Caenorhabditis elegans: one gene and its partners. The protein of the gene in region 2 interacts with the protein of the main gene of each other region in a pairwise test. Each region holds a gene or a part of one and is shown on either strand. Other genes may lie near its edges. The genes, in order: rbr-2, nhr-41, skr-10 and thoc-2.

What was found.
Region 1: the proteins of nhr-41 (region 2) and rbr-2 interact in a two-hybrid assay, tested with the Caenorhabditis elegans proteins (one large-scale study listed by BioGRID).
Region 3: the proteins of nhr-41 (region 2) and skr-10 interact in a two-hybrid assay, tested with the Caenorhabditis elegans proteins (one large-scale study listed by BioGRID).
Region 4: the proteins of nhr-41 (region 2) and thoc-2 interact in a two-hybrid assay, tested with the Caenorhabditis elegans proteins (one large-scale study listed by BioGRID).

The regions. Positions count from the first base shown.
Region 1 is NC_003282.8:10,918,370-10,926,092, reverse strand, and holds the start of rbr-2 (Lysine-specific demethylase rbr-2), read right to left. Parts: upstream 6,024-7,723; 5' UTR 5,987-6,023; coding exon 5,843-5,986; intron 5,800-5,842; coding exon of another isoform or gene 5,793-5,799; coding exon 5,661-5,792; intron 5,402-5,660; coding exon 4,965-5,401; intron 4,737-4,964; coding exon 4,549-4,736; intron 4,500-4,548; coding exon 2,489-4,499; intron 2,326-2,488; coding exon 2,138-2,325; intron 2,092-2,137; coding exon 1,796-2,091; intron 1,365-1,795; coding exon 709-1,364; intron 664-708; coding exon 365-663; intron 1-364. UniProt on the Caenorhabditis elegans protein: Histone demethylase that specifically demethylates 'Lys-4' of histone H3, thereby playing a central role in histone code. Does not demethylate histone H3 'Lys-9', H3 'Lys-27', H3 'Lys-36', H3 'Lys-79' or H4 'Lys-20'.
Region 2 is NC_003282.8:1,384,292-1,389,239, forward strand, and holds the start of nhr-41 (Nuclear Hormone Receptor family), read left to right. Parts: upstream 1-1,923; 5' UTR 1,924-1,997; coding exon 1,998-2,000; intron 2,001-3,551; coding exon 3,552-3,669; intron 3,670-3,722; coding exon 3,723-3,859; intron 3,860-3,924; exon of another isoform or gene 3,925-3,996; intron 3,997-4,316; coding exon 4,317-4,412; intron 4,413-4,948.
Region 3 is NC_003282.8:15,945,228-15,947,888, forward strand, and holds skr-10 (Skp1-related protein), read left to right. Parts: upstream 1-1,579; coding exon 1,580-2,158; downstream 2,159-2,661.
Region 4 is NC_003281.10:6,366,175-6,374,058, reverse strand, and holds thoc-2 (THO complex subunit 2), read right to left. Parts: upstream 6,018-7,884; 5' UTR 6,014-6,017; coding exon 5,918-6,013; intron 5,870-5,917; coding exon 5,738-5,869; intron 5,537-5,737; coding exon 5,445-5,536; intron 5,399-5,444; coding exon 5,179-5,398; intron 4,959-5,178; coding exon 4,776-4,958; intron 4,726-4,775; coding exon 4,573-4,725; intron 4,525-4,572; coding exon 4,020-4,524; intron 3,792-4,019; coding exon 3,390-3,791; intron 3,077-3,389; coding exon 2,257-3,076; intron 2,209-2,256; coding exon 2,100-2,208; intron 2,058-2,099; coding exon 1,919-2,057; intron 1,871-1,918; coding exon 1,011-1,870; intron 956-1,010; coding exon 575-955; intron 509-574; coding exon 287-508; 3' UTR 155-286; downstream 1-154. Other genes in the region: C56G2.15 (N-acetyltransferase domain-containing protein), read left to right, coding at 6,237-6,311, 6,404-6,543, 6,728-6,965, 7,166-7,366.

The DNA of each region.
Region 1 (7,723 bases), 9.5 Mb from region 2:
TAAATTAGCAAATACGCAAAATTGAACAAATATGGTAGCCGGTCTCGACACGGCAATTTTTTTTACTTGCAAAAAAGTTGTGTGCCTTTAAAGAGTAAATAAAAACGCGGAAGTTTTTAAAATTTTTTAAAGTTTTACGACAATGAAATCCCACAGAAACGAGAGTTGGTAACTACAGTATACTTTTTGAAGGCGCACACCCGTTTGTGTTTCACAAAAATTGTCGTGTCGAGACCGGGTACCGTATTTTTGGCACAAAGTTTTTTTTTGAGATCAGGTCTGTCACAAAACAAAGGTTCGTTTTTTTTTCTCCTTACAATTAAATTTTTTTTCCAAAAAACCACAAAACCCGATCTTAATTTACCTCTCAGAGTGAATCCAAGACAAATCACATGGAACCAGTTTTTGCAGCCTGCTTCACACATCACCCAGTTCACTGAGTCTCCATATGGCTTCAAACAGGCGCGAGCTTGACACGACTTGAATTCAGACTCGTCTTCGTAATATTCACTGGGTGATGCTTGACTTTGACGTTTGCGTGATTTTTTCGACGTCTCTTTGTGTGAAACACTTGGCCTTTTGCGTTTAGCTGTGATTTTTGGATCGAAGAGTGATACCGATGGTTTTGAACGAACCGGGCGATTTTTGAGTTCTAGTGCGGCGCTGAAAAAATTAAAAATAAAATTAATACATATAATGTGTACAAACCTTGACTGTTTTTGAAGATATTCCATATAAAATTCTGAAATCAGCTCGCGTGCCTTCGGAAGACCATTGGGATTCAGAATTTCACACGATAGCCAATCGAATAAGGCAATTTTACAAATATCGTCGCTGGATTCTCCTGATTTCCGTTTATTAGCAGCTTCCATCAAATTTTGAGTGATTCCACGAGTTTTTTGTATTAGATTTCGAACAAGATGTGTTTCCAAACATCCAGAAGGTGTTCCATTCAGAGCAGTTGTTACATCATCAATGACTGGACGTTGTCCCCGTAGACATCGAACACATAAAAAGCATCCTTCTGGAAGTTTTTCAAGGAACGGTGACCACTCGCAACATCGAACATGAAACTCTGAATCGCACATTATGCATGTCAGTGTTGATTCGGAATCATCTGATTTGTTGAATCCAAGACATGAGCATGCTTCAAGACCACGAGCTGAATTTGCTTGTTTCACCTTTTCAAAAATTCTCATTTGCATTTCACGTAGCGATGATTGATGATGCACAATTTGATCTAATGACTCGAATTCTTTCATTTGATGCCATTCATCAGATGGATGTACTGCGCCTCCTTGAAAATATAATGGTATCGTTTGTCCTTCAGCAAGTGGAGTTAAATCATCGCGTTCGGAGAGAATCTGGAAAATTCAAGTTTAAGGCAAATTAGATCGAAGCTAATGTCTATGCTACTTCCTGATTGGATTAATGTTACCCAAATATACGGTCACCGGTCTCGACACGAAATTTTTTCGTTTAATTTAAAAAGGTGCGCGCCTTTAAAGATACTGTAATTTCAAATTTTTGGTTCTGCGAAATTTTCCTTGATTTTTCTTTTTTTTTCTTAGTATTTGTCTCATGTTTTTAATTATTTCAACATAGTTTTTTATTAAATAAATAAATTTATAACGAAAACTATGAAAAATCTATGAAAATTCCGCAGTAACGAAATTATGAAGCTACAGTAATCTTTAAAGGCGCACATTCGTTTGTATTTAACTAAAATTGTCGTGTCGAGACCGGGTACCGTATTTTTTGCGAAAAATCGTCAAATTTCACGAATCTCACTCACTTCAAAAAGATTGTGATACGCATTATTTGGCTTGAACAGAATAGCTATCCTCTGAGTAAATGCATTCATTGTGCTGATCATATCCAAAATCCCGAGATGCTCTTCGGAACCGTTTAGACATTTTGAAGTTTCGAATGCTTTACTGATTTCGGCCGCCTTCGATAGTGTAATTTCAACATTGACAATTTTCTGCAGTTGTGTTTTTAAATCAAATTCTGATAGCACGGGAATTGCGGCATCTATCATTGACTTGATTTTGGCAACATGAATGATCTCATAGCGAACCATGTTAATATCTTAAAAATTATTTTGTAAGAATTACTAATGCATTAAATAACAAACATTTTTCATAGAACCAATCAGTTTCTCTAAGGCTTTGCCAAATTGATTGAAGCTGATCAAGTGCTGGATTCTCACAGAAATTGTTTGCAATGACCTCGAGTGTATTGGCGTCACGGAGCATTTGTTGAAGTTCAAAGACGAGTTTAGAAGTACCATCTGTGGGATTTCGTGGACTATCACGAATCAATCTGAAACATATAATTGAATTTTTGAATTAAAGGGGTATAGAGTATTTGGAAATATTTTTAAGGTCTCATCATGAAATTCGGTCGTTTTGGGCCGAGCCCATTCGAGGAAAAATCCACAAACACAAATTTCCTTTTAAGAGAAAAAATATTTTTAAAATCTTACGATAAAATATCACTGGATGCATATCGAAGCTTATACTCAAAATCAATATCTTTCTCCATATCGGGAGTTGCCTTCCATGTAGTAACTTTTCTTGCTCTATCCGACCAATCCTTCATTTGAATAACTTTTCGCAACTCATCGATTTCTTCCAATTTAATATCATATTCATCTCCCTCTTCAATAATCTTCTCGATTTCTTCTTTTGAGTATTCTTGTTCTCGATAGATAGCATCTTTTGCTCTGTTTCTCCACATTTCAACTTGTTCCATCCATTTCTCAAGTTTATCAATAATAACAGTCAAATTGCAATCCATGGCTTGCATTTGTTCAATCAATGACCGTACTCCCTCGGTGTCTGTACGAGTGTCGGCTCTCTGACATCGGGTTTTTGTTCGCGTTCGTACTTTCTTAAAGAGCAATTGATTTGCTTTTTCAATGGCACTCTTGGCTGTATGACGAATTGTTATCAATTTATGAACTTGATCTGTCTGTGGATACTTGTTTTGTTTGGCAGAATCTATAAACTCTTCAATTCTCTCGAGTTTTGGTTTTCCTTCTTCTTCAAGCATCTCATCCGACTCTTCTTTCCATCCATTGTAGTTAACCGTACGCTTTCCAAGTTCATCACACATATTGTTCAATTGATCCAACTCGAATCTGTACTGATATCTGTAGTCTTTCGTTGTACACGAATTGCAAAGATGATCATGATGTTCAACACAAGTCATTTTCTTGTGTTTGTTACAAACCAATGCACACATGAAGAGAGTCGTCTTACAAAAACGACACGATCTTTGTTCATCTGGAATCTTTTCGAACATCACTTGCTGCATTTGGCGATTGGAAACTCCGAGGCGAGCGAGAAGTTCTCTCAACATTTTTTGTTTTTCATATATTCTTATCAGTTCTTCATGTGTTGCTAAACTCATCGAAATTCCAAGTTTATCCATTGCTTCAACCATTTTAAAGAGAAGCTCATCATGAGAAAATACAAGATATCTTCGTACATTTGAGTAAGACTCAACGCATTCTCGACCTTTTGATAGCCAATCAATTGGAGCGAAATTGACAGCTTCCGCAAAGTTGAGTCCCTCATTGAAACCAGCATGATAAGCACGTGGGAATGTAATGACGAATTCACCAGCATTCTGGTGAACTGAATGAATTGGAACTCCCAATGAACGAAGAAGATGAGGATTTGCAGCTGTAGTCATATGATGGAATAGATCTCTTTGTCTTCCAGTTAATCCAGGTGCTATTTTCTTCAATGCATCTTCAAACTTTTCAGCATCTTCTCCACCAACACCGTACCAAATTTTCCGTTCTCCAAAATGATTATAGTTAACAGAATACGTCCAATGATCTTCGGTGTGCCAGCAGAACGTCGAGAAGCACATACCAACATAGACCCACGGTACCATCATTCCAGAAATTCCAGTATTAAAATGTGAGAGAACAGATTCTCGAAGTACAGGCATATTGTTCAGATTCCATGCATGTGAAGCGTATTGCTGCTTCAGCTTCAGATCTGGGCCAGTGTGCTTATCTTCTTTTCGAGGAAATCCACTTCCTACTCGACTCGTAATCAAGTCGGCACCGTATTTGACAGAAACTGGATTTTCGTGTGAAATTACATTCTTCCAGAATGATCGTTCCACAGCATCACACGACACTTGTGATACATCTTTTACACCGAAATAATCACATTTCCATTTGTTGGCAAATTCAGTGAATGAGTTCAGATTGTATTCTGTGTCCGCATCATAAAATCCCCAGTCTAATCCGATTTTTGCATCCTCTGATTCAATGCACTTTGGACATCTCCACTCGCCTTCTGGTACTTCATCGAGTACTGGATCACAACAATATGTATGACGACCATTATTGCATCCATCAATATCGCAAAGAAGTAGTAGATCTTCATCCTTTCCTTCATTACAAGCAACGCAGAATACTTGATCCATTGGATCTTCATCATCATCATCGTCTCCTTCGGCTTTCTTCTTATTTTCTGTAATTTGTGAAAATAAATTTAAAAAATTTAAATTTAAAAAACGAACTTCTTCCTCTGGTTGAATTCTTCTTTGAAGATGTTCCAAGAGTCTTTCTTGAAGATGAAGCCTTCTTATTTTTAGATCTCCGTCGACCACTTTGCATCGACACTGGACACTCATCTTCCCCTCCTTCAGTAGTTTTATCATTTGGAACTTCTATTTCTGTCCGCATAGTTCCGTGGTGATGTTGATATCTATGAAATTCATTCGTTTTTAATTAGAATAATGGGGGAAATTATTAATAACAAAATTAAAAATTTTACTATTTATCGGTTTTAACATTTTTTCATGGTTCTAAAAAACAAAAACATGGGTACATAAGAAAAATTTAAAATGCATATAATTTCAAAAAAATCCATCTACATTATGTTTTCTTAACTGATTTGTAGATTTTTATTTATTTAAATTTCTTAATTACTCACTTATGCTTTAATTCTTCCATTTCATCATCACTTTCATCATCATTTTTCATCGCTTTTTCTTTCAAATTTCGATTAAATGGTTCAATGTGCAAATTATAATGTGATCGAATCAAATTTATGAAAGCCGACGGAACACCGCGAGCCATTTGCTCCTTTGGAAGGTATTCGCGGGCAACGTCTCTCCATTTTTCATCTTCATTCACTTCTTCACATCCTCCAAAGTTTTGAACTATACGATGTAATCGATACAAATCGACAATATTTCCATCTCGATCCACTGGAAACTCAAAAGTTAGACCAGAATATCGATTGAAATTGATTAATCGGTCAATAAATGTGTGTTTCTCTTTGACAATTGCCTCCACTTCATTCAGTTTTTGAGTTCGGGGACGAAATGTAAAGGCTTCTTTGTCGATAGCAAACGGTGGTTTGAAATTCTGCAAAAAAAGAGAGTTGATGCTTCTCGATTCGTTTTTTGAGGGAAAAATCAAAAATTTTCAGATAAAATTGCACTTTTCAAGTGGTGACCATTCTTTTAGTAAACTGAAAATTTTCTAATATTTAGTATTTAATTGAAGGGAGTAGTAGAAGTTTTTAAACTACTACAAACATTGTTTCGCTTTTTTTCAGACTTTTCAAAAACGATTAAAAACTTGTTAAACGTCAGACGTACAATTTTCCGAATAAATAACTTACCGCCGGCGGAACAATTTTAACAACTCCAAATTTTTCGGCCTCGTGTCGTATTTTGGCAACATACTCGATTGGATCTGAGAACTCTTCTTCTGTCGGGTAGTAAATTGGAGCCATTGGAGGTCGTACGAATTTCTGAAAACTATGAAAGCTTATTCACCTTATGTATGTCTTAGTAATCAAACCTTATAGAATTGATCGTACATTTCCATTTTGCTTCCATGATTCTTAGATCTTGAATTTCCGATGGATGCTTTCTTCCGCGGAGAAGTGCTCGTCGACGGTGCTGACGGCGTCGAGATACTGTTCTCTTGACGACGTGCACGCATTTTTCAGTTTGGCTTATAGCTTCATGAGATCTGTAAATTTCATTTTTGTTTGACTTTAATATTAATTGAAATTAAAAGCTTTGAGAAGAAGAACATTTTAAGTACCGACGAGAAATTTCCATGTGATGAAACAAGATGCATCACGAGTGTTATGATAGACGTCATAGAAACCCGGAAATGAAAATTAGCTTATACTCCTTTAAAATTGGCTTTTAAGCTTTTTCTTATTAAGCTTTTGATTTGAACTTAATATTGTATAAATAATTAAGCTGAAAAATGACTCATATTTAAATATATATATTTCTCCAATTTTTGAGGTCGAGCAGCTTTTCAAAGTTTAGACAAGGATCTTTGGTAGAGTTTTAAATGTAGGTCAAGACACGTAAGGCATCGTATAGTAACTCAAATCATTGAAAACTCCATCTCTCTGAATCTTTTTGATGTGTCACCTAAAATGCATTGAGAGACTGGTATTCTTTGACCACTTTGCAGTAGGTCGGTGTCCTTTTCGTCAGAAATTGCGTGCGGTAAAGATAAGCGGAGAAACAGAAAAAAATATAGATAAAATCGAAAAACCGAGAGGAAATAGCCCCCAGCGCCCACCAGGGTCGGCCCACGAAAATCGAGGAAAGTGCGCTCCGCCGAACATTACTCTCGAGTGTCCACTCTCGTCGTCTTGTCACTCCTCTGTTTGCATGCTATTCGCTAGCAATAATCTCTCGGTCTCCTGCCCAATCACACTTTATTCATGTTATGTGCGCGACGCGTTCTCGCATGTGCCTCCTAGTAATACGTGAATTTTTGCACTAACTTTTTTTTGAGGCCAGCAGCTGAGGAAAGATGGGCGCACACAAAGAAAACGAAGAGAAAGCAGGAAGACGCATGTAAAATGAACACAGACTGAGAGAAAAAGAGAACATGGAATTATGGCTCCGAGAGCCAGCATTTTTAATTGAAGATTTGAGACTGTGTTTGTTTACTACGGTTTTAAAGGGAGGCGTATCAATGCGGAATGGTCTCGCCACGCACTGCGAACTCATGAAAAAATTGGCGTGTGCGCCTTTAAGATGACTGTAGAGATTTTTCTGGCATGTCTAATTACATAAAATACAGAAAATTGGGAAAAGAACAATCGAAAATGAAGAAAAGGGAGAAACGAGAAAATTGGAGATTTGCCAGCAAACCCTCTACAGTAATCTTAAAGGCGCACATACCAGATTTCTGAAAAAAAAATCGCAGAGCGTGGCGAGACCATTCCGCATAAACTCGCCACTTTAAAATCATAGAAGTTGTAAAAAGTACACAGTAATATGTAGAAACTGATTTCGCCGAATTGTGAATCTCCATAGTTTCTAAGGAATGTGAATATTATTTTTCAAAACTAAATCAAACTCATTAAAAAGTTATTATGCGCCCGTTTTGAAATAAACGATGGTTGCGCGCGAGAGAATGAGAAGACATAGATTATAACTGCAAAAGCAGAATCAGCTGTCTGCGTGTGAAGAAGCTGATTAAAAACGAAAGGGCGAAAAAGACTTGTTTCACACGACTACACACATTCTTACGACAAATAGACGAAACGGAGGGAGAATCAGAAGTTTATGACCGAACGCTGAAGACGTGTAATCACAGACGTGGTTAGAAAGTGAGGCTGAACGCGGAACTTAAAGCGAAAATGTGTAACATATTGAACAGTGCACGATTTTCAGATGTTCAGAGCATTCGTTTGACAGTTAA
Region 2 (4,948 bases):
AATGACACTAAAACCAGGTATCAACTCCTATTTTTCCGCCACTTGATAGCGGATCAGAACATCGATAAGCGGATCCGAAGAGGAGCTATTTCAACAAAGTCAGAGCTTCGAGAAGATTTGTTGAAAGCTACTTGTTTTTATACATAATTTATAGTTCTAAAATATTTTCTGAAAATTTCTGAAAATGATTTTTCAGGAAGTTTTCAATAGTTTTTTACCGAAAAAAATCTTTGAAACTCTACTAAGAACTTCTTAATATAAAAACTCGAATTCTTCATCAAAATTCTAGTCAAATTGGCCCCCATATTGAGCCATTTCCTATAAGTTTGAAAAATAGGTCGCGGTGGCTTCGCTGGGTAGAGGTTGGGCTGACGCGCGGAAGACAGGGGTTCAATCCCCGCTGTAGGTGAATATTTTTGTGAGACTTTTTCCATCTAACAAGAAAAGAATCTCGAGTTGGAAACTAGGTTGAACCCTGTATGTGAAATTTTTGGCCCAAAAAACCGGAAATTTTCAATTTTCGCCGCGATGGCTCAGTGGCTAACAGGTTTGGCTGTGAATCTCGACACCAGGGTTCGACCCCAGCCGGTCCCAAATTTTTTTTCCGGTACATTTTTGATCATATGAAATGGGTAAATATTGTCGAAAAAAATTTCCAAAAAAAAATTAACAACAAATCCTCACAGCTAATACTTAAGCAACAAAGCCGCTCACCTATAAATTATCTTAATGAAAATGAAAAAAGAAAATCCGCCCCGGCCGGCACAGAAGAAAAAAATTATTTAACAGATTGAGTTCACGGCTCCGCTAAACACCGATTATCCCCCGGTAGCGGGGGATATGATTTTTGGGGATTTTTCAAGGATTTTCTATACTTTCCATATTTTGATGAAAAAAATTTTACTCCATCAGTGTAACTTTTTTGACAAAATTTGTGAGAGTTACATTTTTGTAAATTTTTTCCAAAATAATGAAAAAAATGTGTGTAATGTCAAAATTACTTTAAAACAGGGGAAACTATGTTAAATTAAGCTGTGCAAAAATGTTCTGGTGCACGTTGGGGTCGAGCCCTTGACCTTCTGCGCCATAGCCTAACATGTACCCAGTTCAGCACACATTTTCACGAAATTTCTAAAAAATTTCAAAATTATCTTAATTAGGCCAATATGGGAGTCACGTTGAAATTTAATGGAGAATTCGAATTTGACGTTTAATTTACTAAAATTTAATTTTTTCAACGAAAATTACTCGACACATGGAAAGTGTTGAAAACTAGTTTCTAGCTCGAAATTTTGTATTTTTGTCACTCAAAAAATTGCAACAAAAACTTATGACCAAGCTGGGACTCGAACCCCTGACCTTCTGCACCATAACCCAGCCTCTACCCGATTGAGCCACTTCGCCCCATTTTCCGAAATTTTTGACAATTTAAAAACTACCGAAATAGGTCAATATGGGGGTCATATTGACGGAAATTTTTTGTAAAATTCGAATTTTTAGGTTTAAAACGTTTAAACCCAAATGCTAAAGACTTAAATGTTCGTTTTCCTCAAAAGTTGTGACCTTTTTTTTTGCAACTTTGTTATACCAAAACCGCAACACATAGTACAGTTCCCCCCGCCCCCAAAATTCGTTCCGCGTTGCTATTAGCATACAATGCCCCCCACGGTCACTCACCTCTGTGTGCACTCTCCCGGTTTCGCGCACTATTTCCCACGCCGCGCGCCACACCGCTTGAAACATATTTCCAGTTGGTCAGCAGCGGCTGACTGACCGGCGGCGCGGTGATAAGGGGGAGAGTCTCCAGGAATAACGGTCTGAAACACCTCTCACTGTACTACTATATTATTCTCTCTTGTTTCTGTATACTCATGTACACTTTGCCAAAGTGCTCTGATCACCCACATCGTCCCCTTATTCTAGAAAATTCCACGTCATCAACTGGGCTAATATTTGCTGAGAGTCAAGCTTCAGCATCCCATCAAACTTGGATTAATATGGTGAGTTTTCTGAGGAAACGTTCATTTTTGTACATTTTTTAGGTTTTACTGAAGAACTAGCACTCAAATCGAAAATATTTCGGTACTTGTGTATTACATGTCCTCATTTTTAAATTAAATTAAACGGTTACTCGTGAATTTTTAGCTGCGAATCTCCAAAACCAAGCTCACGGCGAGCTCTCAAAGATCCTGAAAATAGCACTTTAACGAAGTAGTGAAGGGCCAATTTTCCAAATTTACTTTGGTAGCTCATATCTCAGCGGATAAATTTTTTACCGAAAAGTCATCAACTAATATGTTGTTGATATTTTTGTAAAGAACAAGTTTGTAGTTGAAAGTTTTTGTCAAAAAAATTGTTGTTTCAGATAGAAGCGCATGAAGTGCGGCAACTGCTGCTATTGCGATTTTAATGCTTTTATCTAAAACAAAAAACTTTTGGTAAAAACTTTTAACTACAAACTTGTTCTTTACAAAAAGTTCAACAATTTATCAGTTGATGACTTTTCTTTGAAAAATTTATCCGCAGAGATATGAGCTACCAAAGTGAATAAGGAAAATTGCTTGTTTTGATCGTAAAGTGCTTCGTTACAGTGCTATTTTAGGATATTTGAGAGCTCGCCGTGAGCTTGGTTCTGGAGATTCGCAGCTATCGAATGGCACAGGTTTCATATGCAAGTCCGATGGGCACCTTCTGACGGTTCCCTAGTTAGGAAATTTTATTTCCTAAGCCTAAAAATCCAAAAGTGTGGTTCACGTTTTTATTTTGCACAACTTAAAAAATTACTATAAAAATGAGGGCATGTAATACACAAGTACCAATATTTCAATTAAAATGTATTCAACGTTAAATTCTACACCAATTTACCGCACAATACAAAACAATTTCTGAAAAAAACTTTTTTTCGGGACAATTGTTTAAAAAATTTTTAAAGGCTAATTTTTCAATTTTTCAATTATTTTATTAAAACATTCGAATCTTCCGTCTAAAATCTCTAAAATCCGTTAATTTACCCCCATATTGCCCTATTTCCGATAAGTTAAATTTGGTCTCGGTGGCTCAGTCGGGTATCTGTTGGTCTAGACTATGACGCAGAAGACCGGGGTTCTAGTCCGGTAGGAGGGATTTTCTTTTTATTTTGATTTCTTGTACAAAATAACATGTAAAAGTCTAAATTATGGGAGTTAAAAAAAGATTTACGAAAAAAAAATTCTAAAATGAAATTCCTGTCACTCTAAAACTGTTTCAACCATCAAAACAGTTATAGTAAAAAATAAAAACCACAACTGGGCTCGAACCCTCGACCTTCTGACTCAGCCTAACCTCTGACCAGCTGAGCCACTGGGACCCAATTTTTTGACTTTTCTAAAAATTTCAAAATTTTTGTAAATTGGTCAATATGGGTGTCAACTTAACGGAAATTTCATGGAGAATTCGAATTTGACAATGAATATCTTTTAAAAAAATTCTCTGAATTTAAAGTTTGGAAAAATTGTCTTAAACAGGCTAATTAACTGGAAAGTTTATGAAAAATTATAATTTTCTTATTCCAGACGCTGGGTGACCCTTGCTCCGTCGAGCAACCCCCACCTCCACCCATCGATTTCTCACGGAGCCTAATTGCTCCGACCGCTATCAAACAAGAATCTCACCTAATTCCCTCAACGCCAGGTAATATTCTAATTAATTTTTTTCGAATAAAAAATAAATATAAATATGTTCAGGCACCCCAACAGCTTTCCAACCCCCACAGCATGCGAACACACCAATCCCTGGTATTCAGCCGAATTTGTTCAATCCGGCAATAATGGCGGCTCAACTAAACGTATTCAGCAACCCACAGTTGATGGCAATGATGCAGGTAAACTATTTTCTGCAAAAATGAGAATTCGGCAAAACTGGCAGTGCAAAAATAAAAAAATAAACTTCCCATGCCGGGAATCGAACCCGGGCCGCGTGGGTGAAAACCACGAATCCTAACCACTAGACCACATGGGAGGACGAAACGAGGAGGTCTCGAGTGCCTAGAGAAGAGTGTGCGGGAGGGGCCTGCTGACTGTAGCGGAAAAAGTTATATGGCGGGGGCAAAAAGAATGTCCAATTTTTTTCGAAAAAAAAACGAAATATCTCTCAAATTCTCGACCCTAATGAAAAATTACTATGTGTCTATGTGTGTGGAAGGTCATTCGATAACCTTTTTTTTCCCTCAAAAAAATATCATGAAAGGTTTGATCTCGTTTTCAAAAATATTTTTTAACTTTTGCCCCAAAATTTGTTTTTTTTTTGTTAAATTCTCCCTTAAATTTTTGAATTTCCAGGCTACCAGAAACCCATTGTTAGGACACCCGTCAGTTGTCGGTCCACCAATGATGCCAAATATCATTCAACAGCTAAATGCCCTTCGAAATGTTCAGGTAAAAAAAATGTTGCTCAAAGAACTTTTTTTCAAAAAAATTTTCCAATTTTTCCGATTTTCTAGGATTCCTTTTTATTTTAACACACTTTAACTATCCAAACAAACCTTGAGAAAAACATTTTCCCTTACTTGGGCTCGAACCCCGGTCTTGTGCGCTACAGCCCAACCTCTACCCAGTTGCGCCACTTCGATCCATTTTCAAAAATTTTAAAATAATTAGAATCCGGTCATTATGGGGGTCAAATTAACGGAAATTGCACGCAGAATCCGAATTTCGACATGAAAAACAATGAAAATCAATGCCTCAACCTAAAAAAACACAAAATTTTAACTAGAATTAAAACAATTTTAGGTTAGGACTTGGAGTTTTTCAAATCATTTACTAAATTTTCTGCGTATACCTAATATTCCAATACCCTTTTTTCCAAAAGTTTGGACTACAAGGACAGTGTCGCGAGCGCGCGCGCTCTCTCTAAAAACAGGTTTTGATCACCGGTCGAATTGTAGCTCCGCCCACTTTCCGGGGTCCTCAGG
Region 3 (2,661 bases), about 15 Mb from region 2:
CTACAAGTCTCAGACGTAGCAAGGTAGCAACCAAATTGAATTAAGTCGGAAATGGAATAAAAAATTGGAGAAACAAATAGAATGCATTGAAAAATGGAAAAAAAGAAAGAACAAAAAATGCGACTACTCACAATGAGAAGAGAATGTATAAATGACTCCTCACAATCAGGCAGACTGTTTTTTTCCAGAAAACGACTGGGACGCTGCAAATCTAGGTCAATTATTGATATTGGGTAGAGAGAGTTCAATGCATTTCTAGGAGGTTTAGAAAAACAGACAGTGCACCTGCTCTAGGATTTCCCTAACAAAGGTCTTTTCTCTCTAAACCTCGCCTATAACACAATGTCTCATCTCATCCTGTCAAAATTTGACCTACATTTCCAGCGTTTTTAACCGAAGCCAGTTAGGCTATTGGTCATTCTTGCATTTAGCTCTCACCCTGGGCAGCTGCATTTTATTTTTCCTTCTTTTTAAATTTTTTTTTTTTTTGGTTTTTCGTTCTTTTGTTTTATCAATGACCCAGAATCTGTTTGTCTGAAAACCTTAAACTTTAAGCATTCAAAGTTCTAGTCCAATTAAAAATGTTGAACTCTCTAAAACTATAATACCTGTTTGATGCAGTTTTTATAATAAACTATTTTTGAACAAATCCCGATCGAGAAATAAACTTGATAATTACTTAAAGTTGTACCACTAATAAAACCGAAAAATCACTTTAAAATTCGATTACCTATAACCTTAAAAAATATTCTGATCTTCTAAAAACCTCCTAAAATGTAATTTGAGAAAATGTCGCAATATTGCAAAAAAAATTTAAAATCAATTCTAAATTTTGCTATTTCGAGGTGTTATCAAATTTTAGCGCAAGCCTTATTCGAATATTGCATTGGGATTTGCTTTCTTCTTTTTTTTTGTAAAATTCATATCGAGGATATGTAAACCAGTTTGTCAAATTTGTTGCTTTAAACCCCTTTGGATTAATTTAGGCTTACACTATTTCAGACCACTTTTTGATCGATAAAATATTAGGGGCCTCCTCAACAACCTTGTCGGTTGATATTAAACCTTTTTAGACAAATCGATATTTTTCGAACAAACGCAGCGTTCCATGCTGTTGATTTTGCGTGTATAACTCTTCAATCAACTTTAGATGCAATACTATATAAATCTTATCCAAATGTATAACAACCAGTTGAAACAGTCAAATTTTCTTTTTCTCGTCGCGTTCAACTTGACGGCATTTCTCATCATCTCCCTGTGGAAAACTAATCAATACTTTTTGAACAAACGCAGCGTTCCAATCGATCGATTTCTAACATTTTTTGAGGGATAGTCTGTCTGCAGAGTCATTCTATCGTTTATATCTCATTGTGAGCAGTCGTCTACATTTTTTTCTATCTTTCTATACACATTTCAAAACTATTATCTAACGTTGTTACCCGAAATTATAACAGCTGTTAGATACAGTTCTTTTTTTTACTTTTTGAAATCAGATTTTCCTACATTTTCTTAACTTAATCATCTTTCTTTATTTTTTCAACCCATTATTTTTCCAGAAACTACTCTAAAACTACCAACAATGTCCGCTGAAGTCGCTGCCGTTGAAATCCAAGAAGCTCCAGTTGCTGCTCCAATCATGTACAAAGTTGAATCAAATGATGGAACAGTTTTCGAAATCAGTGATGAAGCAGTAAAACAATCAAATACACTCTCCAATCTAATCTCTACATGTGCTCCAGAAGATGTAGCTTCAATGGATCCAATTCCAATTACAAATGTCACTGGAAACATCCTGAAGATGGTCATTGAATGGTGTGAGAAACACAAAGGAGAAGCACTTCCAGTTGATGATGACAGTGTTCCAAAGCATATCACTGTTCCCGAATGGGATACCAACTTCTTGAAAATCGACAACGAAGTGCTCTTCGACTTGATTGTTGCCTGCAACTACCTTGATGTGCCTGGATTAATGAATTATGGATGCAAGATGGTTGCCATGATGGCTATCGGAAAGTCTCCTGATGAGTTGAGAATCATCTTTGCAATTCCAACTGATGAAGAGGATGAAGCTGCTGAGAGAGCTGCAAAGGAGAAGGCTGAAGCTGAGAAGAAGGCGAATGCTGAGAAGGACGCAGCTGAACCATCGACTTCCAAATAATTTCTATGTATCAAGTGTTTTGTGTTTCTTATCAAATAAATAAGTTTGACTGTAATCTTGTTGACAAACATTACACAAAATTTTTATTAACAGTTTCAAGGTGTTGTTTTGAAGAGTTATTCCTAAAATGAAATATTCCATAGCAAGGTTCTAACACAGAATGCACTTTGACTATCTTCTTGTTGAAACATTTGGAAATTTTGAAAAAAAACATCTACTGTTTCAATATGTTGATTTTAAGAGTGAGGCTAAACAAGCAACAGTAAGTTTTTATTTAACCAAAAGCAATTACGTTTGAAAATGTCACAATTAAACCTTATAAACTAGTGTTGAAAGGGCATTCAAAAAAAAACTCGCGTATCTAGTTACTTTAATTCAAAAAATTCAAAAATACCATGCCACTTTTGCGGAAAAGTTTGCAATTTTGTGCGATGCTCAAAAATGTATTCACATATATCAATTTTTATGTTGGAACGTTTACTACCTAGCAACAAGAACTCCAG
Region 4 (7,884 bases), on a different chromosome or scaffold from region 2:
GCTGTTCCCATAGATTGGAAGTCGTTCGGAAATTTGACGTTGTCTTTTGCTCACATTTAGCACTTGATCTTCGACTTTTGGATTGACTCTTCGAGCAAGCATTCTATATTCGAAATACTTCCATTGCTTTCACATTCCAAGAAGTTCAACGATCCAATGTCTTTAGATTTAATGCTAACAAAAAATAAAACGAATATTTAATAATCCATCAGGATACAATAGAAAACCTCGTAGACAACATAAACTGAGATACAATAATGAAAATCTGGGGATATGTGGTGAGAGCTCATCTAAATGTTCGATGCCCACGATCTCTTCCACTCTTTCCAGCATCACGTGCAGGCTCTGCTATTCTTGATGCCTTTGGAAGTTCTTCTTTTTTTTCTTTTCGATCATCTTTGCGATCTTTTCGAGAGGACGATGTTGATTTTGAAGGCTCCTCTAGATCAAACTCAATCGCTTTTCGAGAGCCTTTCTTGTCATCTTTCTTGGGAACTGGGTCGGGAAGCTGAAATAAATCACATTTTCGAAAGGAAAATTTTGAAAATAGCTTGAGAAAACGTTAATATCTTACCGCGGGTCCTGCCACTTCAAGCTTCTCATCGGACGGCTTGCTTTTTTGCTTCTGATCTTTGAGAATCTTTTGTTCTTTCTGGTTTTCTCCATTTTCTCGCTTCCTTTCCTTATCCTTTTCTCGTTCCTTATTATCCTTCTCCAACCGTTTCTCTTTTCCTGTTTCTTTGTCTTTCGATCGTTCTCTTCTTTTCTTACCTTCTCCTTTTTCAGATTCTGTGTCCTTCGGAGATTCTTTCTCATCTTTCTTTGAAGGTTCATCAGACCGTTTTAAGCGATCAACAATTCGAGTCTTCTTTGCAGGAGGGGGACTTGGAGTCTTCACTTCACCATCTTCAGTTGTTGGCTCTTTCTTTGATTCTTTTGATCCGTGGGATGATTTCTAAAATTATAATAGTTAGTTCAGTTCTGTGAATTTTAATAATTTATGTACTCACTCCAGGTCGCTTCTTTCTCTCTTTGTTATCTACTGTAGCTTTCTTCTCTGTTTCACTTCCATTCTGATGTACTTCATCATCTTTCACCACTTTCTCCGAACTCGTCGTCCCATTTTTCTTCGAATCTACTTTAATCTTCTTATCAACTGGTTCCCCATCAGCTTTATCTTTCTCATCTACCACTTTTTCTTTTTTCTTTGGTTTTTCAGCACCGACCGACACCTTCTTGTTGGGAACTGGGGCGTAATCCGAATTTTGAGCATAAATCTTCACAGTTCTCATCTTGAGCTTTCCAACATACGAGGCTGCTTTTAATGATAGATCGTCACGTTTTCCCTTCTCTCGATCCTTCAACTTGGTTACAGCTGTTTCCATTGTGGCGACTGCATGTGATATGACTGGAAATCCAGATGTCAACTTTGTCATCATAATCAATGAATTTCTGATAAGTACATAGTCAGCATCATCTTTTGTGAAGACTGTCTTAAACATGGCAGTAAATCGAATTTGCCATCTATAGCATAACTTTCGGAAAGTTTGATATTCAATTGCTTGTTTTGTGATCATTCCTGGAAATCCTGCACATTCCTTCTCGAAAACTTCTTTCTCCGAGTGCCATCTTTGAACAGTGCAGAGCAGAATTTCAAAGAAGCATGCCAGCGAGTTGGCTTCGTTCTCGGTGAGCCCCGCGATCAGAGGAATTATGTTCTCGAAGAGTCTGTCAATGATCAGAACCGATGGGAAGAATGGAGTCCGCATTTCGTGAAGCATCATGAAGAATTGACCACAGAACACTGCATCAAGTTCGGAGAATATGGCACGTGGCAGGAGGCATTGTTGAATGAGAGCTTCCAATACAGCTGGAAATATTGGAAAAGTATTAAAGCGGATTTCATGCATAAACTTACAATTATGGAATTGCTCATCAATCAACGAGTCTTTCTTGTTCAGAAGCCATACTTTACAACGTTCCACGTGCTCAATTTGCCTCTTCTGCTCTTCTCGAAGCTTACTCTCCAACTGTTTATCAGTTTTCTTAGCTTTTCCCTGAAATAAAAAATAGTAGATTATTTATAGATGAAAACTAACATGACTGTCTTCTCTTGACTGTTTCTTTAAAGCATCAAGTGTCCGTTCATATGCAGCTGTCGGAACTTCGATATCATACATTGTCAGCATCCAGAAAACAGCGAAGAATCTGAAAGAAAAATTTAGCAAACTGGGCGAAAATTTGATAAAAACTCACTTCACAGGTATATTCTCCTCCATGCCAGGTTCAGATGCTTTCAGCTCATCCATTAACATTTCCACTTGTGATTCCAACGCACTTGTAAACATTTCAGTCTTTTGCTGTGTATCCAAACGAGTCTTTTGTCCATCTTCAACAGCAGCTTTCGAGATTTTTTTAGCCGCATCATAGTGATCTGATATTCTTGAGAAGAAAATAGGTCTCGCCAGACACATTGTGGCTTCCATTCCAAGTGAATAATCAGATAACAATTCACGAACAGTTGGAACTCGTTTCGAAAAATCATCATTTTTCAGATAAACACTCAAAAATGAAACGAGTTGTTGAAATGTGTCACTACACTGATCAACCATTTTTCCAACAAGTTTCAATGGAAGAGTAGAGCTTTCATTGTAGACAATATGCTCTTTTTGTTGAGCAACTGAAATTGCCAATCCAACAGCCAAATCTCCTTTCAGAAGTGCATCACGTAGACGTTGAGCAGCTTTTCTATTCTTTGTTGCCGTTGAATATCCACCAGCTTCCTGTTTCAACAAGTCTCCACCTCCAAGTGCTTCAATTTGTTCTTTCGTTGCTCCACTGATACTCTCGATCCATGACATATTCTGGATAATTTCTCGAAGAAGAAGCATATCGTAACTTTTGCAAAGTTTCAATTGATTTAGCACATAGTCTAGCATTCCGTTCAGTTCGAGTGGATATCTTCGATAGAGAGATCCAACCAGTGTTCCAAGAGCTTGCAGCCAAGGAGAGATGGTAGCATCAGTGGATTTGAGAGCTTGTTTCGATGGATCAGCCAATTGGGAGATGATGCAATCTGGAATAAATGGAAAACCTTCAAATGAGAAATATTTAAAATAGATTTGAAAAAGTTTGACTTGTTTACAAGTGAATGAAAAAAACGAGAATTTTTTCACATAGCTAACTGAAAGACTCAAAAATTTAAAATGTATCAATTTTTCCATAAAATTTTTTTATGAATTTATATGTTAAAATCTTAAAATTTCTCAAAAAAAAACGTTCGAAATTTACAAAACCTTTCAGTTTTCGTGGTTTTAACAAAATAATTTTTTGGACGTTTTTTCTCGTTTTCTAAAAAAAATTGTTTTAAATTTTGTTTGAAAACTTACAAGTGAGAACATCAAATTCAAGACTTGTCAAATATCTCAAACTATCCACAACAGGTCCAATGAAATTATCAAAAGTTTGCACTTGACTGAGGAGATATGAGAGTACTGTAGATGGATGTATATGACACAATTTTCCCAATTGTCTGCCCATCATCTTTACAGTTTCCTTCGAAAGACGCTTCAGAACATATTTTGTTCGTCCATGAATTTTCCCCTTCATTATATGCATTTCTGGATGTCTTGAAGTTTCAAGATTCCATTTTGAATACATCCAATATCTCCAAGAATACGGGAAAAGCTCAAGGAGCTGCCAAATCTCTTCACTAAGTGCAACATTTGTTTCGGACAGTGTGAGAGATGGTAGAAGACATTCGGAGACGACTTCCACGAAATTTTGATTTACTGAAATAATGATATTTAATTTTGAAAATGGTTGTTTTTTTTTCTTCAAAAATACGGTGCTCGATCTCGAAGTGACAGATTTACATAAATTTTAAAAAAGTACAAAAGTACAAGGAGTTCTGTAGATACGAACTAATTTTTCCTAGTTTTTATCGTTTTTTCAAAATGTTTTGTTAACCTTAATATCGGGGCGAAAATCGCAAAATTTCACATTTGAAAAAAACCTACGTTTATCATCCTTCGGTAGCAGATCCTTGTCAACTTTTCGGTAGTAGGCAGTCAAAAGTCGAACAATTTTGATATTTGTTGAAGCACGAAAGGCTATTCTAGGTCCCAAATAGGCAAGTACACTTGACAATTTTCCAAGATCTTCCCAACTTTCGATTGGTCTTAATCCATTTCCCATATCATCTAACACTGGTTTCGTCGATTTTATCAAATCTCCAAACAAGTTCAGCGAACAATTTTTCTTGTAAAAATCGTTAATTGATTTCTCAATTATTTTGCAAAGAGCTCTACAGAGTCGTGGACTAGCTTGAACTGCATAGTATTCTGGGAGACGATCAATGAGCATTTGAGCTTGTTTCCAGTTTCCACTTTCTAATAATGCACACGTTAAACCAAGCTTCTGATTTGATGAGAGAACATATTCCTCATTAAACCCTTCAGATAATTTTATATCCTCGTCTTCTTGAAGTTGGATTACTGTAGTGAAGGAAATCGTTTGCGTTGTCTGAAATGTTTTTAAAAATTAGATAAATATTCAATTTTCCGACCTAACCGCATTTCCACCTATTCCATTTTCATCGAAACCTCTTGAATCCATAATTGGCATTGAAGCTGTAGAAATTGTTTCTGCTTTTGATGCTCTTTCTTGTGCATTCTGCATTCTTGAACGGTGCCCTTCTTTAATTGCTTCGGCTTTTGGAATCATCTATAAATATTAATTAATAATTTCGAATAATTTAAAACGGGACTCCTCACATATCCTAAAATCTTCATCATATCGATCATTTCATGTTGAATGAGCGAAGCTGTCAGAACGTACAACGAATATGGCGTTTTCTTCTTTTTATCCGATTGATAGAATGTGAATTTGAAGCCCAGAAGTGCACACAGATAGTCACGGACCACGTCAATTTCTTTGAGAAGTGCAATGAAAAGGAGCTGAAATTAAAAATAAATATTTTTAAAATACAAATGAGCTGGATTCGTTTCAAGATTTCTTAATCTCATCATTTGAATTTCCAATTGTTTTATTTGTAAAGGATAAACGGAAAAGTTATAAATTCCAATTTTTCTCTATTGTTGAACTTTCAAATAAGCTCCGCCCACATCATGGTTGACCACCAAAACATCATGAATTTATGCAGATTCTTTATTTTACCTTCTGCCTCGGGAAATTCTCGAAAACTTCCAATATAACGTCAGTGACACGATTTGGATCCAAATTGAACTGTCCAATTAATGAAAGTACTCGATGCTTCAGAATCTTCGCATGTTCATTCTCATTCGCTGAGCTCTCGGCTGCTTCCATAAGCTCTGTGACAAGTTTTGAGTAACCTTCAGACTCTTCTCGAAATAAGTTGAATTTGGCCTGTTTGAAACTGAAGAAAAATGAGTTTTTGCAGAAATTGAATGAATTTAACTTACTAGACTTTTGTTTTCAACCTAATTAGTGCCTTGCTGTGATCATCTTTTTTGAAACAATCCAGCTCGAGGCGGAGGATTTCTTCGGGGATTATCTGAAAAAAATTTGGTATTTTTACAGGAAATTTCCAGTTAAAATCTCATTTCTTTGTTAAACAATTTTGGATTAAGTTAGAATATTAGTTTTTTTCAATCCTGAAACTACAGGTTAATTTTATTTTCCGCCAATAATACTATCTTCCATATAAATAAGCCTTTTTTGAACCTTGAGCTTTAAAAGTTGAAAGTTTTATTACCGTGTTAGTGAGTAGATTCACAAAGGATTCAAAATTCTCTTTGGAAGTGCTCGCGTTGTCAGCGAACTCGCTCTCCGGCTCGGTGAGCACTAACACGTCGATCAGCTCCGAACTGATGGCATCTCGATCTTTCTGAAATTAATGATTTCTAATTTGTTCAAGATTTTAAATGAACGAAACCTTCTCTGTGAGTATCCTTTCATAAGCCTTCATCGGTGTGATTTTCATGTGAACAATATCGAGACATAACTGGGTTAATGTTTCGAAATCGTTCATTTCTCTGTAATTATAATAATTCAATCAGAAACTAAAAAAAGAACATTAAAAGGAAATATGAGATTTCAAAAATTAAACTTTTTAAAGCGAGTTGGCACTTTGCCAGCCGAGGCAAACAAGAGTGAGAACGCGTGGACGGGAAATCTAGAGTTGAGATTTCTAGGCCATCGAGTGTGATGAGGGCATCTGAGCTCAGAAACATAACCAATTATCGGGTATTAGGATGCCGGACTTATTTTTTGTTACGCTTTATGATAGGCAGGATCTTTTGAAGGAGAGTATGACATTTTTGAATTCGGTGAGTTGTATTCTAGAGTGGTTTTCTAAATGTATTTTTTCTTTGGTAAAATAAATAGCTATATTCATAATTTTGAACTTTTCTAATTCCAGGAATGGCCCAGAAGCGATGGATCTCGTGAGCATTCACAGAAAAAATCATGCCGTCAGTCCCCTCCAATGTCGTTTTTGTTGCTCAATAAGGAGAATGACGAGATACTAGGCCACTCAAGAATCACACATCTTCCAAATCGGTGAGTAATTGGAATAAAACAATAAAAATTTGAAACTTTCGGATTATATTTCAACAATTAGAAAATTTGATAACTCACTAAAATTTCAGGAAAAAATATTTAAAAAGTTAAAAAATTTTAGCCTGAAAATAAAGGAAGCTATCATAATTCTCAAACCATTCTCCCAAAATTTGTTAATTTTCAGTGACCATGCCTTATGGATTGAGTCAGTGATGATCAAGAAGGATCAACGTGGCCTTGGACTCGGGAAATTCTTAATGAAATCCACAGAAAAATGGATGACGGAAAAAGGTTTCAATGAAGCATATCTCTCAACTGATGATCAATGTCGATTTTATGAATCTCTTGGTTATGAGAAATGCGATCCGATTGTACACTCGACAACAGCCACTTGCATCTTTCCAGCCATGAATCATTTTCAGGTAAATAGGCTTTTGAAGTTTTCAGAAATACTAAAAAATCATGTTTCTTGAAAATTCACAAAACTATACTCAGATCAATCTGATTTAGTTCGGAAATTTTGGAGATCCATCTTCAGATTCAGTCTAGAAAAATTGAATTCCTTAGTAGAAAATGCACAATTATTCAGATTTTTCTATAATTTATATCATGTTAATTTCAGAACGCGGCCGCATCCAACCCGTCCTTCCTATCAAAGATCGCACAGCCTTCAGCCTCGTCAACAGTCTCAGCTTCTGCTCCACCACCACCACCACCGCCTCCGATGGCTCCAAAAATGGTCACCAGATCCACGTCCCCGATTGTGGACGTCAACACGATTGATCACCAGTACATGAGAAAATGGTTAAAACCAACTGAATAATATATTGAGAAAAGAATACGCAAATATGAAATAAGAATTTCTACTTTTTATTGATTTTCCGCATAATGTAAAGTAATTTTAAGAATTACAAGAATAAAATAATTGAATGAGAGGGCGTGGGTGTGTTTTCTTAAAAACAACAACGAGTGAAGGGGGAATTACAGAAAAAAAGAAATAAAAAATGGGATAGAGATGGGGGTGATAGGTGGAGATGAGGGGATATGAAAGGTAGAAGAACCTGGTAAAATGGTCTGACGGGGCTCAAAGGGAAATGGGGCTCAAAACCAAAAAAGAATAAAAAGAAATTACCTAAATGAGAGAAGAAAGGCTACTAGACGATCTGTGTTTGTTGTGGGGAGAGGAGGCATGGGAGATAGTGGATAAAAACGATGATGAAGCTAACAAAAATAAAAACGAGTTGATAGAAAAAATAATGGGTCGCCTATTGCGAAAACGGTTCAGATTGGGAAAACAACAGTAGGTACAAAACAGCCATTCTGTGCATGTATACAAGGAAT